2 linked regions of the Tamandua tetradactyla genome follow. The protein of the gene in region 2 purifies or fractionates together with the protein of the main gene of each other region. This does not show direct contact. Links are inferred from orthologs where the notes say so. Each region holds a gene or a part of one and is shown on either strand. Other genes may lie near its edges.

Region 1 (7,124 bases), on a different chromosome or scaffold from region 2:
GTACCCCCCTGAAAAACCCTGGGATGCAGAAAAATTTACTAAAATGGAATTGGAGCCCTGACTCATAAAGTATGCAACGAGTGAAGAAATACAAGTCCACTTATATCTAGAAACTAGGGCTACTATTTAAATCCTGCCTTTACATGCATTCCACATTACCTTTTTTTATGCCCATACTTTACAAGCTAAACAAAGCACCTATTTCCTTTAATCATGACACTCATGAGGATGAGCTAAATTTGGAGAGATTTTCTAGTGCCTAAATCCACAGAAACAATTCAGGAGGAAGGCTATACAGTTTTCCTACTAGATTAAGAAATTCACAACAGCAGGCTTCTATTCACTTCCTCCAGAAACAGTCCGAGGGCTTCTACTCCTTTAGGTCAGGTCCCACCACACTAAGTTAATGAGCCTTCCATGGCAATTTCAAAAGCTATTGCATTTACACATCTCTTCCCCAACCGACAAATCACTAAACCATTCTAAGAGTCAGGATTAAATTTTATGGTTCGTTGACCGAAAGAATAGATTCCCAAATCACCAATCCATGTCTAATTGTTCATTACCCCCCACCCACCCCCACACACCTTTTCCCACATAGTCTCTATACGTTCCTATTGCCACCAGACCACAAGGAGTTCATGGGTTTATATTTCAACTAAAGATCACACTTCTGAGGTCAACATAGAAGACCCCCCAAAAACTACCCACCAGCAGGAAACCTTCCAGCAAGGCCCCAGAGAAACCAGCCTCTCCCATGCTGATGACACATGTTGCTGTTTCCAATGAAAGTGGCAAAGCAAGGAAAGAGAAATACCAAGGCTGGTTTATTTCTTTGATTTTCTTTCACATGTTAAGACAGAAGGCCTTGCAGGGTCTCTCACCAGCACACCAGGCTATTCCAACCTGCCAACGCACAGTTTACTAGGAAGGAAAGTTTTTTATAGCAATGCCATTTTAAACGTGACCATAGTTTTTTTGAGGGCTGCAGTGCCTCCAGTGACTGCACTGCTCTTACCATTTGACTGAAGAATAAACGGTGACTTCATGTAAATATACACGGCTACCCTGCATTAAAAAAAGAAAGGAAGAAAAAATAGGGCTAATAGTACAATGTCAGCTCAGATGCAAGCTAAGCTAATGAGGCACATGGAAAGGCTGTTTTCGCTTCTGCCGCTCTAGATAAAGCAAACCTATGAACGAAATAAGAACTCTACAACCTATCTAATACACAGAGCTGGAAAGGAAGGAGGGAAGGAGGAAGGCAGGGAAGGCAGAGAAGGACCTCTGAAGCTACCGAACTTCGGTGTTATCATTTAGAGGTCTGACTTCAGAGCTAAAATCTGTTAATCTACAATTGGTCCCCTTTGGCTTGTTTCAGGATACTATTTTCTTGTTCCACGCTAACCCGCAATTCAAATGGAACCACATCCTTTAACTCAGAGTTTCCTGGGTTTGCTGTAACCCTGAACGTCAGAGTAATGTGGGTTACAGGATTCTGGAAAAGATAACACTGCTTTCAAAGCCGATTAGCCATTAAAAAACAACAAACACCACCAACGAAATGTACACAAGTCCAGAGCCTGACACACCTCCTTCCCTCAACAGGCGTAGATCCCGGCTTCACTACAGTGTTCAATTTCTTCCCAAACACCCGGTCCCTGGAACTGTTTAGAGACGCGGGACCGAGTGCTCCCGGCGATTCTAAGGACAGCGAGAGTTACACGGTTCCGGCAGCCTGATCACTTGGCCCTCGAAGCTTTTATTAAACACACACAGAGAAAACGAGAGGAACGAGAGAAAGTGGAACTAGGAAACCCAGGTGCACGAGGACAAACGTTCGGCCAGCGGCGGGATGCAGCCGGGACAACCAAGCTAAGCAGCGTGTAACACGGAGACGTGAAAGGAGTCCCTGGCTCCGAGGGGGAAATCACCATGACAGGCCTCGCTCCGGGGACAGAGGCGCTGTGGACCTCTGCTCACAACAGGCCGGGGGTGTCCGTTTTATTTGGCATGGAGCTGGACTGCTCCCCAGAGAAGAAAAGGACAGAGAAAGGGGCAGAAACCTAGATCATTCTTCCCGGCGAGAACAGGGGGAATAAAGGGGAAGGATGGTGGGAAGGTGTCACTGCTTGTCTCAATGGGTTGAAAAGAAACTTGGACTCCTCTCTCCAGATCTACATGACACGTTGGAAAAGCAACTGCCTCTCCCTTCCTCTCCTCCTCTTTGTGTTTCCCAACACCCCCACCTCCTAAACTTCCCACCGAATGGGATGGGGCCCCAGCAACTTAAATTGTGGAGCCGAGAGAGGAAGGGAAACAATGCGGGAGGAGTGGGATGCGGGGGGGGGGGGGGCGCAAGAAAGAAACCTGCCAACCCAAAGCCCTTGGCGGTGGCGCTGCGCCCTGTCACCCCCTCCCCGGGAGTCCCCGCCTTGCCGCAGAGGGGCCCGTGTGCGCTCCGGACCCTGGGGAAAACTCTGCTTTTAAATCCGTGGCCAGTGCGAGGCGCGGTCCCCAGCGGAGGTCTGGGGTTTCGTTACTTTCTTCCGGGGAGAGGAGTGAAGGGGACAGCGGGGCACACATCCCCTAGATGCCCCCGCGAGCACCTCGGAGAGGACTGGCAGCCGAGGAGAGAGCATGTCAGCCGCGACCCAGGGACTCGGCGGGGAGTAGGAGGCGGGGCGGCCGAGGGGAGAACGTCCGGAAAAGGGGACCGAGAGAGCCCCCGCCCAGAGTCGACGCGCCCGAGACCCCCCGCGGAGGGGCTCTCGGAGAGGGAGGGGCCCAGCGAACGCGGTGCGGGCCGGGGCCGCTGGACTGGGACGGGACCGGCACTCACCTTCTTGCCGCCGCCGCCGCCGCCTGCACCTCCGGCCAGCGCGGAGCCGCCCCCCGAGTACATGTAGTAGGCAATGCCCAGCACCCAGAGGAAGGCGAAGCACAGCAGCATCCGCGATCGCCGCCGCATTCTCCCCACTCCGCCACCCGGCGCTCGGCCGCCGGCTGCTCGCGAGTGCTGCCTCCCGCCGGCCGCCGGGAAGGGAGCGGCGGGCCGGGGATGGGGGAAAGGAGGGGCGGAGGAAGGGGGAAGGGGCCAGGGCGGGGGCGGCGGCGACTCCTCCCCCGGCCGCGGCGGCGCGGGCTGCCTACAGCGGCCGGGCGCGCAGAGACGGCTGCCCGGCTCTCCCCGCGGCGGCTGGGCCGAGAGCTCCGCCCCCTTCCCCCGCCCCGGGCCGGTGGCGGCCGAGCGGCTGCCTAGGCAGGAAGCAGCCGGCCTCGGAGGCGGCGAGACGGGTCAGGGAGCAAAGGGCGACCAATCGGCGGCGGCAGTGGGGGCTGGGGCGCCGGGCCGGGAGGAGGGGATTAGCCGCGTCTCCATGGCTCCAGCACGCCGGGACTCCGCCGGGAGGGCCTCCGCGCTTCCCCGCGCCGCTCCGCCCCCCCCCCTCCCCCCGGCCCGCCCGCTCCTCCTCCGCGCCGTCCCAGCCGCCTGCCTCCACCCCTACGTCCTCCACACAGCGGGATTGCCCCCACCCCCCACTTCGTGAGTGACAGGTGGCTGCCCCGGGACCGAGGAGGAGCGCGCGCACATGGGCGCACATTCGCGCCCACACGTACCCAGGGACCTTCACATACGTTCCTTGTGGTGCTGGTAACCTAGGTGCTTCCCTTCCCAGAATACCACCTTTTCAAGTCCTCGGTCTTTTGGGCCGCCTCAGACCCTTAAAACGCTTTCTCTTAATGCCCAAAGGTCCTGAGACTTTTAGTGTAATTCCTCGCCTCCAGCACCCGACTTTTCTGTTGCTCGCTGCCAGTTTCCTTACTTATGTTTCAGCAAAACATACCGTGATCACCAGGTGTTCATTTTGTTTATTTATTTGGGGGCAGAGGTGGGGGCTTTGAGATGGAAATTGTGAGAAGGTGATTTTCAAGTGAGTGTTTTTCGGAGAATGAACAGAGCAGGATTATATAGTCTTTTTTTCTCAGTCGCTGCTGTATTGAGGGAGAGGGGGGAGAAAAAAGGGCTCGCTAAGTATCTTGAAGACGCTTATATGTCTTGGCCAGAATGTATTTAACCTTGAAAATGCCCTTGTAAAATGCAAAGTTTCCAGTGTTCCTAAGAAGGAAATAGATGTTACTGAGCACTTGATATTTTAAAAGTGATTTCAGGAGCTTCCGTCTAGAGATAATGGCAGCTGCCTGAATCTTAATCTCTACCCACATCCTCAACAAAACAAACAGAAAGCCTTAGCCTTAGTGGGAAAGAAAACGCCATGAACTGAACTTCAAATTACTTCTTAAGTAGAAGAAAATAAAAGACACCAAATTCCAACAGAGCTCTCTCCACTGTTGCCAAGGACTTAGATAAGCTTGAAGCAAACCTGTAAAGACAAACTCCAAGACCAAGAGCTAAACACTGAACACAGGTCCAGTGCTTGATTGTTCAAGGGAAGCGATTTGAAAGAGAATGGGACAGGAGGTGGCATCCTTGAAGAAGTCTTGCTTCTGAGAAAAAAAAATCAGATGAATGGAGAGGGCAATATCCTTTGGAGGCCTGGCAATGAAGGGAAAGAAGGAAGTAAGAAGGGAAAATTCAAGAGCTTGCCAAAATAAAAGAGAAGACAGCCAATCCCTCCCCTAATTACCCATCATCTATCAAATACTTCTTTTTACTATACAGATAGAAGACACTCTTAAAACTAGGTACCCTGCCTCCAAAAGCCTTGTAATAGAAAAAAAAATCTAGTCAACTGCATAGAAAGTTATTGCAAAAAGAAAACAGAAAATTAATCACAACATTTCTGCTGTGGATCATAACACGTTCACTAATGAAAAGTCCCCCTGTATTCCACCACCCCCTCCCCCCCAAAAAAAACATTTAGCAGAAGTAAATTATGACACCACATATCAAACTGAACAAAGTATCATGAAGTTTTGAAGATTATACAGATCACATACATACATATATACACAAATATAAATTCATATACATATGTATAGCTAGAATCCAGAATTCAAAAACTAAGAATAAACTGCTCTAAAATTAGGAAGAAATACAACAAGAGTTGATCAAATTCAGAAAAGAAATTGAAAATAAAAACAAAACTACCACAAAAACAAAGAATAATTACAAGGTGCCTGTTTTAGTTTCCTGGGCTGTTCAAGCAAATTCCATGAAATTATTCGGGTTAAACAATGGACATTTATTCATTCCCTGTCTGAGGCTGGGAAAAAGTCCAAATCAAGATGTCATTAAGGCAATGCTTTCTTCCCATAGATTGGTGTTCTGGGGCTGGGTCCTGGCAATTCTTGGTCTCCTCTGTCACATGGCAGTGTCTCCTGATCTTTACCTGCTCTTCCAGCTTCTGTCATTGTCCAGCCTCTTAATTCCTGTGGCATTCTCTATCTCTGAATTCATTCTGTTTATAAAGGACTCTAGGAATAGAATTAAGACCCATCCTGATTGGGCTGGGCCACACACACTTTAGTTAAAGTAGTTTCATCAAAAGGTCCTACTTATACTGGGTTCACACTCACAGAAATGGATTAGATTTAAGAACATGTTTTTCTGGGGTACATACAGCCTCAAGCCACTACAGAGCCCAAGGGAGAATAAATGAAAATATGTAGAGGAAAAATGGGGTACAAGGGTGGTTCAGTGGTAGAATTCTTGCCTGCCATGCAGGAAGCTGGGTTCAATTACCAGCCCATGCATTTCCCAAACAAACAAACAAATACTCAACAAATGGTGCTGCAATAAGGAGATACTCACATGGAAAAATAATGAAATGTGACCCCTGCCATACAGCATACAGATTTATATGTATATATATATAAATAAATATATGAATATATATATATATATATATATAAAGACTTCAGAGAATGGCAAGAAAACAATTAAATTGAAAATAAAAGGTTCAGAGAGGAGTGGTTGAAGTGCAAGCCAGGAGAGAAGGACCAAAATACATATAACTGGAGTTTCTAAAGAAGCAACAGCAAGCTAAATGGAACAGAACTAATGCTAAAACTATAATCCCAGGAAATAATCCAGAAATAAGAGAATATTTAAATCTACATATCAAAAGTATCTTCCGTGTACCTCAGAAAAATGACCTGGAATAAATCCTTTCCAAAACATATCTTAAAACGATTCGATTTTAAAAACAAAAAGGCCAAATTACTTACAAGCATAAAAATTTAGGCTGACATCAGACTTCTTAAGAACAGCATGCAAAGCAAGGTAACGGTAGAGCAGCATTTATGAGAAACTCAAGGAAAGAAACTACCAACCAAGCTTTCTATATTAAACAAGTCTGCTCTTAGTAAGAGGCTATAGTGAACTCAACGCAAAAATTGAAAGAATGAGCAGTCCTCTCTTGAGGCATCTTAGAGAATGAGTTTCCTCCAGCCAAGAGATAACTGAGGAAAACAGCCAAAGGACTGATGGAGAACATTTAATATACTTAATTGGTAGAAGAATAGTATGCACACATCATACTTTCTGACAAAGTAGAATATATGCAATTAAATTGAAGGAAAAGAAGGAGAAAAAGGGAAAATAGTATAAGGTCATTACCATTATATAGGCAATAGATGGGAGTCAAGAGGGACCTCATAACACTGGTAGACCAGATATTAAAAGGTTAAGAAAGAAAGAAAAAAAAATAACAGAATTAAAGGCACTATAAAAAATATAAATAAAAATGTAATCACTAAAAACATAAATATTCCAAAATGCTAAAAAAATAGTAGAAGAAAAAAATACACACTAAATCGAGAAAGAACTATTATAAATATGGCGTAATACATGTGGTAATTATAATAGAAAACAATGTGGTAGAGTTGAGACCAAACCATATCAGTTCTATCAATTTACAAATGGGCTTAGTTTGCCTATTAAAAGAAGATATTTTCAAATTGGCTCATAAAGGAAAACTGGATTTTAAAAGAACAGGAGTTGTGCTCCTGATATCAGACCAAATAGAAAAGACCAAAGAGCACTAATAAAGGAGACAAAGAATAACAATTTATAGCTAAAAGCCTCATCTCCCAATGAAGATATATCAGTTGTGCTCCTTAGGATTTGGTCAGAGAAGTAGAAACACCATTAATGATAT
Region 2 (7,757 bases):
CTAGAGAGTTGCTATCACATCCTCATTTTGCCACTAACTTGTACTGGGAACTGAGGAAAAAAAAATGTTGCTGGGCCTCAGTTTCCTCATCTGTCAAGGGAGGGAAGTGAAGTGGTATACCTGAAGGTCTCTTCTAGCTGCTACCTGGTTGGTACATATACCTCAATGCCTCCACTGTCCAGCAGCTCCAGAGATCCAATTCCTCCTATTTTTAAGTGCAAGCCTGCTTCTGGGCCCACCTGAGGTTGCTAATCACTTCTGTGAACGTGGCTCTTCCTTCCTTACCTTCTGGTCCAAACGCTGGTAGTCACTGGCCTTTGGCCGCCGTGCGACTTTGGATCTTTTTCCTTCCAGGACAAAAGCAATAATCTGGGGAAAGGAAAAAGGAAAGGATTAGCAGGGGGCTCTGTAATGATATGTTCCAGGGTCTGAAATCAGAGGCAGTTATCCTGGTACTACATTTTTAATGACCGTGACTGTAGAAAGAACATTATACCCACAAAGAATCCTAATTAAATCCTAATGATTTTAGTAGGACAGGACCCAGTTACATCAGAATCCTTTATACTCCTCAACAGAAAACAATTGCGGGAAAGCTCCTCTGGGCTCTAGCTTGTGGGAGTTGACTCACCAGCACTTGATCAAATATTACTAGTGAGCTGACAGGTCTGCCAATCCCTCCCCAAAGAGATCCAGAGGCTGAATTTTCCAGGCTAGGGCACTCCCTTTTTACTTTTTAATCATAATAATTATTATTTCACAACTGCAAACATACTTTCACCCCACATTTTGCTTCTTCAATTGCACTCTGTAACTTTCCCTCCCTCTTTCCACTCCAAAGGCTATTTCCCTCAAAGGAATCTTGGCTGTAGAGTAAGGGATGCACAATTTTACTAAAAGCCTTCTTTCATCCCTTACAACCATGGTCTGATGGTCTTCTAAATTCCTGGGGCTCAACAGGAAATGTGATTCTTTAGTCACTGAAGTGTTTGCAGAGGGATACTAATATCACTTCACACCAAACCCTGCAAAAGAAGTGCAATTTCTGGGCTTCTGTTTAAAGATCAAAAACCCCACTGACTGTAGTCCCTGGGCTCCTTGCTGTTGACATGTAAGACTATCTGCCACTACAGACATTCTTTTTGCCACTGTGCAAGGAAGACAGAAGCTTGAGAAAGGAAGCCAGACGTGACGCACACATCTCAAAAGCAGAAGCAAGGGGAGACAGATGCTCTAAGTACTTATAAACCGGCAGGTACTCAGCTCCTCTGAACCTAGTCATGGGTCTTAGTTCAAGATTATGGGCGGGGGGACTCACTTCAGGTCAGATCTTAACATCCCAATTTGGCACCTAATGCAGCAGCAGAGGCCACTCAGAGGAAATCGGTAATAGATGATATAGGCAACAAATGATTTATAAAACAGGCGTCAAGGACCCTAGCAGGGTTTGAAGAAAAAAATGGTTTGTCTTAAAATCTCCAGTGCTTCTGGGCTAAGGAGGGGCTGCTGACCCATACACCAAGATCTCCCCTCTCTAAGGCAACTCTTGACTTACCTTTCGCTTGTTGTGATAAGCAATATAGAGGACAGCAACAAGAACGGCTGCGGTCACCAGATACGCAAAAAAGTGGCTGCTCTCTGCACTAGCACTTCCAGGACTGCCCTTATAAAGGACACTGGATTCCCTGCTATTCACGGAATTCAAAAGCGGACCTTCTTGGTTCTCACTGGGGGCAGGGCCTGACATCTCTTTGGGTGGTAAATCCTCTTCAGGCTCTGTATTGCCTTCTTCAGGCTCCTTGGGCTGGAGATCTTCAGTAGGAGCTAAAGACTTATCTTCTCCCTCCTGCCGGGGAGAAGTGCGGTCACTGTCTGTTGATACTTTCTCCCCAGATTCTGTCTTAGAAACAGGTATGACAAGCTCTCTATTGTCAGCTTTCCTCTCCAAGTCAGCATCCTCGCCATTAGATAATCCTTTGGACCCGAGCTTGCTAGAGCTTTCGTTCGTGGACAGCTGTTGTCCTAGGTCCGGACTGTTAGAGCCTTTTGGGGGGGACTCTTTTCCAGGGTTCGAACTGCTGGAGCCTTCACTGGGGGACTGTGTTTCCGGGTCCGAACTGCCAGAGCCTTTATTAGGGGACTGTTTTCCCACGTCCGAACTGTTGGAGCCTTGTTTCGGGGACTGTTCTCCCAGGTTCGAACTGCTGGAGCCTCCTTCGGGGGACGGCTTTCTCGGGTCCGGATTGCTAGAACCTTTTTTGGAGGACGTTTTTTCCGGGTTCGAACTGCTGGAGCCTTCTTCGGGGGACAGCTTTCTCAGGTCCGGATTGCTAGAACCTTTTTTGGAGGACGTTTTTTCCGGGTTCGAACTGCTGGAGCCTTCTTCGGGGGACAGCTTTCTCAGGCCCGGATTGCTAGAACCTTTTTTGGAGGACGTTTTTTCCGGGTTCGAACTGCTGGAGTCTACTCTGAGGGACGGTTTTCTAAGGTCCGTATTGTTAGAGCCTTCTACGCAGGACGCATTTACGGAGTACGAACTGCCTCCACTGGAGTTCGGCTGGCTCACGGTGTTCTCGCTTGGGTTTCTTCCTCCAGAAGACTGACTCTCAGCCTTTGGTTCTTCAGGACGGTGGTCGAGATTATCGGCAACTGTCGTTGAGCTGGACGAGTTCCGTTCAGCTCCTGAAATACAAGGCGTTTGTTGGTCCTGGCGAGTCACGCCGGGAGAAGAAGCCCTTTAGGGCTGGAAGAGACCGGGGCGGGGGAAACAACGGTAGGACCGGGGTGGGGGTGGGGAGGAGTAGGACGATGGCGCGTGCAGGGGTGGGTCGGGAAGGGAAGAAGAGAGCCCAGAAGGTGAGGGGCCGAGGTAAGTACGGTGGGTCTGAGGGCGAGAGTGACATCTGAGAAGCGGGGGTCTTACCCCCGGCCGCGACGCTCAGCAGAACCAATGCAACCAGGAACCGCATCCTGCATGAGCCGTGCTTCCGCCCTCAACCACTCTCGCGAGATGCGCGTGCGGGATTCTCGTGCGCGGGCCCGTGGTCCCACCACCTCCCCGTCCGTCCTACCTCCTGGAGCCCATCCATTGGCTCTCTGGTATGGGGGCGGGGCTGCCCGGCGGCGGCGCTGCGCGGCCCCTGCGGAGGACCCTATCGCCTTTTCCACGTCGGCCCCGCCTTCCCCTCCCGCGCTCCGAACCTTGTTAACATCCTCCCTTACAGCACCCTTGTTCCCGCCCTGCCCTTCGGGGCCCCGGATCCTACTCTCCCATTCCTCCGCCCCGGGTCCTCCTTGCCCCGCCACTCTCCCACCTCGCCGAAACAATTTCCTCCCAGGTTGCCCAAGCCCTTCTCTAAAAAAAACATCTTTTTTCAAATCGTAAAAGTTATTCGTGTTCGGGTGCACGGGTGGTTCCGTGGTAGAATGCTCGCCCTCCGTGCGGGAGACCATGCACCAAAAAGAAAAGGAAAAAAAAGTTATTCATGTTCAAGGTCGAAAGTTTAGTGAAAGTATAGAAGTAAGAAGTAAAACCTTAGTCCCAACCTTGGCGATAATCGCTGTTGAGTATTATTTTGTTTGGCAAAAATTTAGTGTTTTCTATTAGATAATACTTTTGATGGTCCAAAAATCAAAACGGGATTTAAAAAAATCCCTGCCAGGGGCTTTTATCAATTTAGTGTGTTTCCATCTAGTGTTTTGTTTTGTTTAATTAAATACAAATGTACTTATTTTCCCTTCCTTAATTTGCATATTTTCTTTATATCTTTCTTATGCATATTCATTATCTTCCTAAATTGAGAACATTGGGTAAATACTTTTGTTTCCACTATTTACAGTTAGTGTTATGTTTATTCATTAAACATTGACTAAAAATCTTTTATGAACAGTTGCCAAGCTGGGCCCTTGGTAGACTGTGGCTATTAAAACAGTGACAGGGCCTAACTGCACGAATCTAGTGTAACATAGAAATATTAATCAAGGCGTATCTGTACAAATGTGTGTGCACCCCAATAGATGTCAAGGAAGAAAGGTACAGAAGCCCATGAGACCTGTTGAGAACGGCTCCTTGGTGCTGAGCGCCAAAGAATGTAGGCTTTCCTTGGGGAAAAAGAAGGGAGGAGGAGCTTCCCTGGCTGTCAGTAAGTGGGAAAGCCTGAAGCAGGTGGGACCTGGCATTTTGCCTAAATCTAAAGGTTAATCCAGCCTGAGAAAGAGGCTGGGAGTCAATGAACTGGGAGTTGTCCTGAACAAAAATCTCTAGGGGGCACAAAAAGTAAGGCTGGATTAACAGAAAATGTCATGCTAGCTAAGGGGCTGAAATGTGACCAAGCCCCACTCCTGCCAAAAGGACTGCAGCTGCCAGGGGAAGTAATATTCCCCTGGAATCTGTGAAGTACAATATTTAGTTTGTTGACATGCAGTTTCTAGTCCAAATTCTTTATAATTTCAAGGAATAATACGTGGCATAAATCTAATTTTAAGGAACAAGGACTGTACTGCTTTGGCTAAAGAAAGTGAATTGGTAGCTGAATTTGTTTCTGTATATACTTAATTTATATATATATATATATATATATATATATATATATATATAAGAACAATTGTAGGTTTACAGAAATATCATGCAGGAAGTACCAAGTTCCTGTATACTCCATCTCTCACACACCCAGTTTTCCTTATTAACATTTTGCATCAGTGTGGTAAATTTGTTACAATTCATGAAACAATATTATTATAATTATGCTGTTAACTTTAGCACACTGTTTACATTGTGTTGTACAGTTCCATGGTGTATTAGTTAGGATTCTCTAGAGAAACAGAATCGATACGAACACTCGCAAATATAAAATTTACAAAAGAGTCTCATGTGACCGTGGGAACGTAAAGTCCAAAATCCGCAGGGCAGGTTGTGAAGCCAACAATTCCGATGGAGGGTCTGGACGAACTCTACAGGAGAGGCTCACCAGCTGAAGCAGGAAGAGAGTCTGTCTCTTCTGAACCCTCCTTAAAAGACCTCCAGTGATTAGATTAAGCCTCACTCATTGTGGAAGACACTCCCCTCAGCTGATTACAAATGGAATCAGCTGTGGCTGCAGCTGACGTGATCATGATTTAATTCTATGAAATGTCCTCATTGCAACAGACAGGCCAGCACTTGCCCAGCCAGACAAACAGGTACCACCACTTAGTCAAGTTGACACATGAACCTGACCATGACACAAGGGTTTGTGTGCTTGCATGTGTGTGGTGACATACAAAACCTAATATTTCTCCCTTTTTTTTTTTAACCTTTTTGAATATACAATTTGGTGGTGTAAGTTACATGCACAAAATTGCATGTCTCTTTATATAATTTTAACTAATAAAAGGAAATTCTCCCTACCTTCCCTAAACAAACATTGGATTAATGTTAAAGGATACTGATTTGGTAGGGAAGCAAATTATTAAGTTTGAAATGGGGTTTAGAAGTACTTGGCAAGGGAGGAAAGAGAAATCCGGATCCTGCAGAACTTGTTGGCCATCCTCAGGGTTTTGTGTTTTGTCTTAACAGCAATGAAAAGGATTGAAGAGGTTTAAGCAGAGGAAAAAGATCATCAAAGCTGGGGATTTTTGAAAAATTCTCTGTTTGCAACATGACAAACCTTTTGAGGGAAGGAAAGAGTTAATTTAGGAGTTAACCAGTTAGGGAACTCCTGTACTAGTCCAAGTAGGACTAGCTTGGGGATGGAGAGAAGGGGTCCCATTCAAGATTAATCTGGGAGGAGACACCACAAAGATTGGACATGGGGGGATGACGGTAAGATGATCAGGATTGCTGGAGATGGGGCACAAGAAATAAATTTGCTTTGGACTCTGTGTCTTATGCCTCTGAGGCAATCCAATGGAGGTTAGGGAGTTGGAAATCTGGGCATGGAGTTCAAAGGGAAATGTAGGAGCCATTTCCTAAGCAAGTTAAACATTGCTCAAAAACACGATTTGCTAATGGTTTCACAAAGAATCATTTATGAGTTAATCATAATTGTTGTGACAATTCCCTTATTATTAAACATCTGGATTATTCTTAATTTTCTACTGTAACTACTGTTTATTAAGTTTAATACAGTAGGTGCTTTATAAAATGAGACAGACACAGAAAAGATAAAGCAATTTGCTCAAGATCACTCTATTATTTCACCTAACAATTTGATAGGAAAAAAAAAACCCTTTCTGTTGTACTTTAATATTTATTGCACAAGTGATTCCCATGACTTTGGGCAATTTACTTAATTGCTGAAAGTATCAGCTTTATTATGAGATGGAGATTAAAATATTCTGAGAATGAGAGAATTCATGTAAAGCATGGAATATAACATGGTGTCTAGCATGTGATTAGAGCTCCAAAATGATAATAATAGTTATTAATACATTCAATATATAAAGATTAATAAAGATAAGCCACAGTAAGAAAATAAAATAATCCTGTAATCCAGAAATAACTATTATAAAAATATTTTGATGGTTCTTCCTTTTATTTAGTCATATATGTGCATATGTTTGATTAATTGAAAGTAAAACAAGTTACAAAGCCATATGTACAATTCTTAGTTTGTGGGCCTCTTTGTGGTGTGGCATTTAGTGCTACTAGTCGTGTCACTTGTCTTCTGGGATGCTATCGCCTCCTTGTTTTCCACTGATTCTTTTCTCAATATACTTCAAGGGGTTCCCAGTTGTCATTAAAATGTTTCTAAAAGGAAAGTGAAATCAATAGTATCACATACAGCAAAAGGTTGAAATAGGATAAGGACCTAGAAGTAGGAATTTTAATAGAGTCATGAAAGCAAAACCTGGTTGCAGTGAATGGAAATTACTTTTGCTGGAAGTTTGGATGTGAAACATGGTTTCTAATATGGGAGAGGGTTGCAGTTATTTAAAGAGTTAAGGGAAGAACTCATTCTTTCCTGTAAGAGTGATCAAGGTTACCGAAGAGATAAGATGACTGATGAACAATGCACCAGAGATGAGGGGCTGAGGTCTAGGGTGGTTAACAGCGGACAAGGGGTTGACCTTAAGATCTGTGGACAGGTAATTAGATTGGGTAGGAGGGCAGGGCAAGATGGCAGCACAGTGAGGTGTGGAATTTAGTTGGTCTTCCAGAGCAGATAGTAAATAGCCAGGAATGGTACAGAATAACTGCTGGGGGAACATCAGTGACCAGACACACAGCATACACCATTCTGGACCAGGTGGAGTGGCTGAGAGCCCATGCAGAACTGTAAGTTCCCTAAGCTGCGGACGCCGGGATCCCTCCCCCATGGGCAGAGCAGGCTGGTTCCCCAAAGGGAAAGGAAACAGACTTTACTAGCAACAAGGGCTTAGCTCAATCATGCTCCAATTGTGGAAATAATTTTAAAATTTTGACTACTGAAAACAGGTTCCCACACAGATAAACCTGGAATAAGGACTAAAGGAAAAAGGAATTTTTGCCAAGTAGAGAAGGGAAGGGCTGATAAAAAAAAACAAAAACAAAAAAAAAAAAACTAGACATTTTTTGAGTTGGATAGCACAAAATACTGGGAAAGGGCTGGACCCCAAGAAAAGGGGCCATAGAGAGCTTGGAGATCCCCAGAGCAATGTACCAACTCACACTCTTGATTGACAAACCTGAGGAGTGGTGATGGGGGTGGGTGGGGAGCAGCTCTAAAAAGACTTGTGTTTTTTTTTTACTTCTTAAACAGCTCATTAGACAGAACTGGAAGCACTCTCAGGTTCTAGCA

What was found.
Region 1: the proteins of TGOLN2 (region 2) and GALNT2 purify together in Homo sapiens (affinity purification with mass spectrometry; 3 studies listed by BioGRID and IntAct, counting the BioPlex papers as one, with this or other methods). This does not show direct contact. The link is inferred for Tamandua tetradactyla from reciprocal best matches to the Homo sapiens genes TGOLN2 and GALNT2.

What each region holds. Positions count from the first base shown.
Region 1 is NC_135328.1:154,569,404-154,576,527, reverse strand, and holds the start of GALNT2 (polypeptide N-acetylgalactosaminyltransferase 2), read right to left. Parts: upstream 3,055-7,124; 5' UTR 2,972-3,054; coding exon 2,843-2,971; intron 1-2,842. UniProt on the Homo sapiens protein: Catalyzes the initial reaction in O-linked oligosaccharide biosynthesis, the transfer of an N-acetyl-D-galactosamine residue to a serine or threonine residue on the protein receptor.
Region 2 is NC_135343.1:59,576,431-59,584,187, reverse strand, and holds the start of TGOLN2 (trans-Golgi network integral membrane protein 2), read right to left. Parts: upstream 3,035-7,757; 5' UTR 2,970-3,034; coding exon 2,924-2,969; intron 2,683-2,923; coding exon 1,556-2,682; intron 370-1,555; coding exon 286-369; intron 1-285. UniProt on the Homo sapiens protein: May be involved in regulating membrane traffic to and from trans-Golgi network.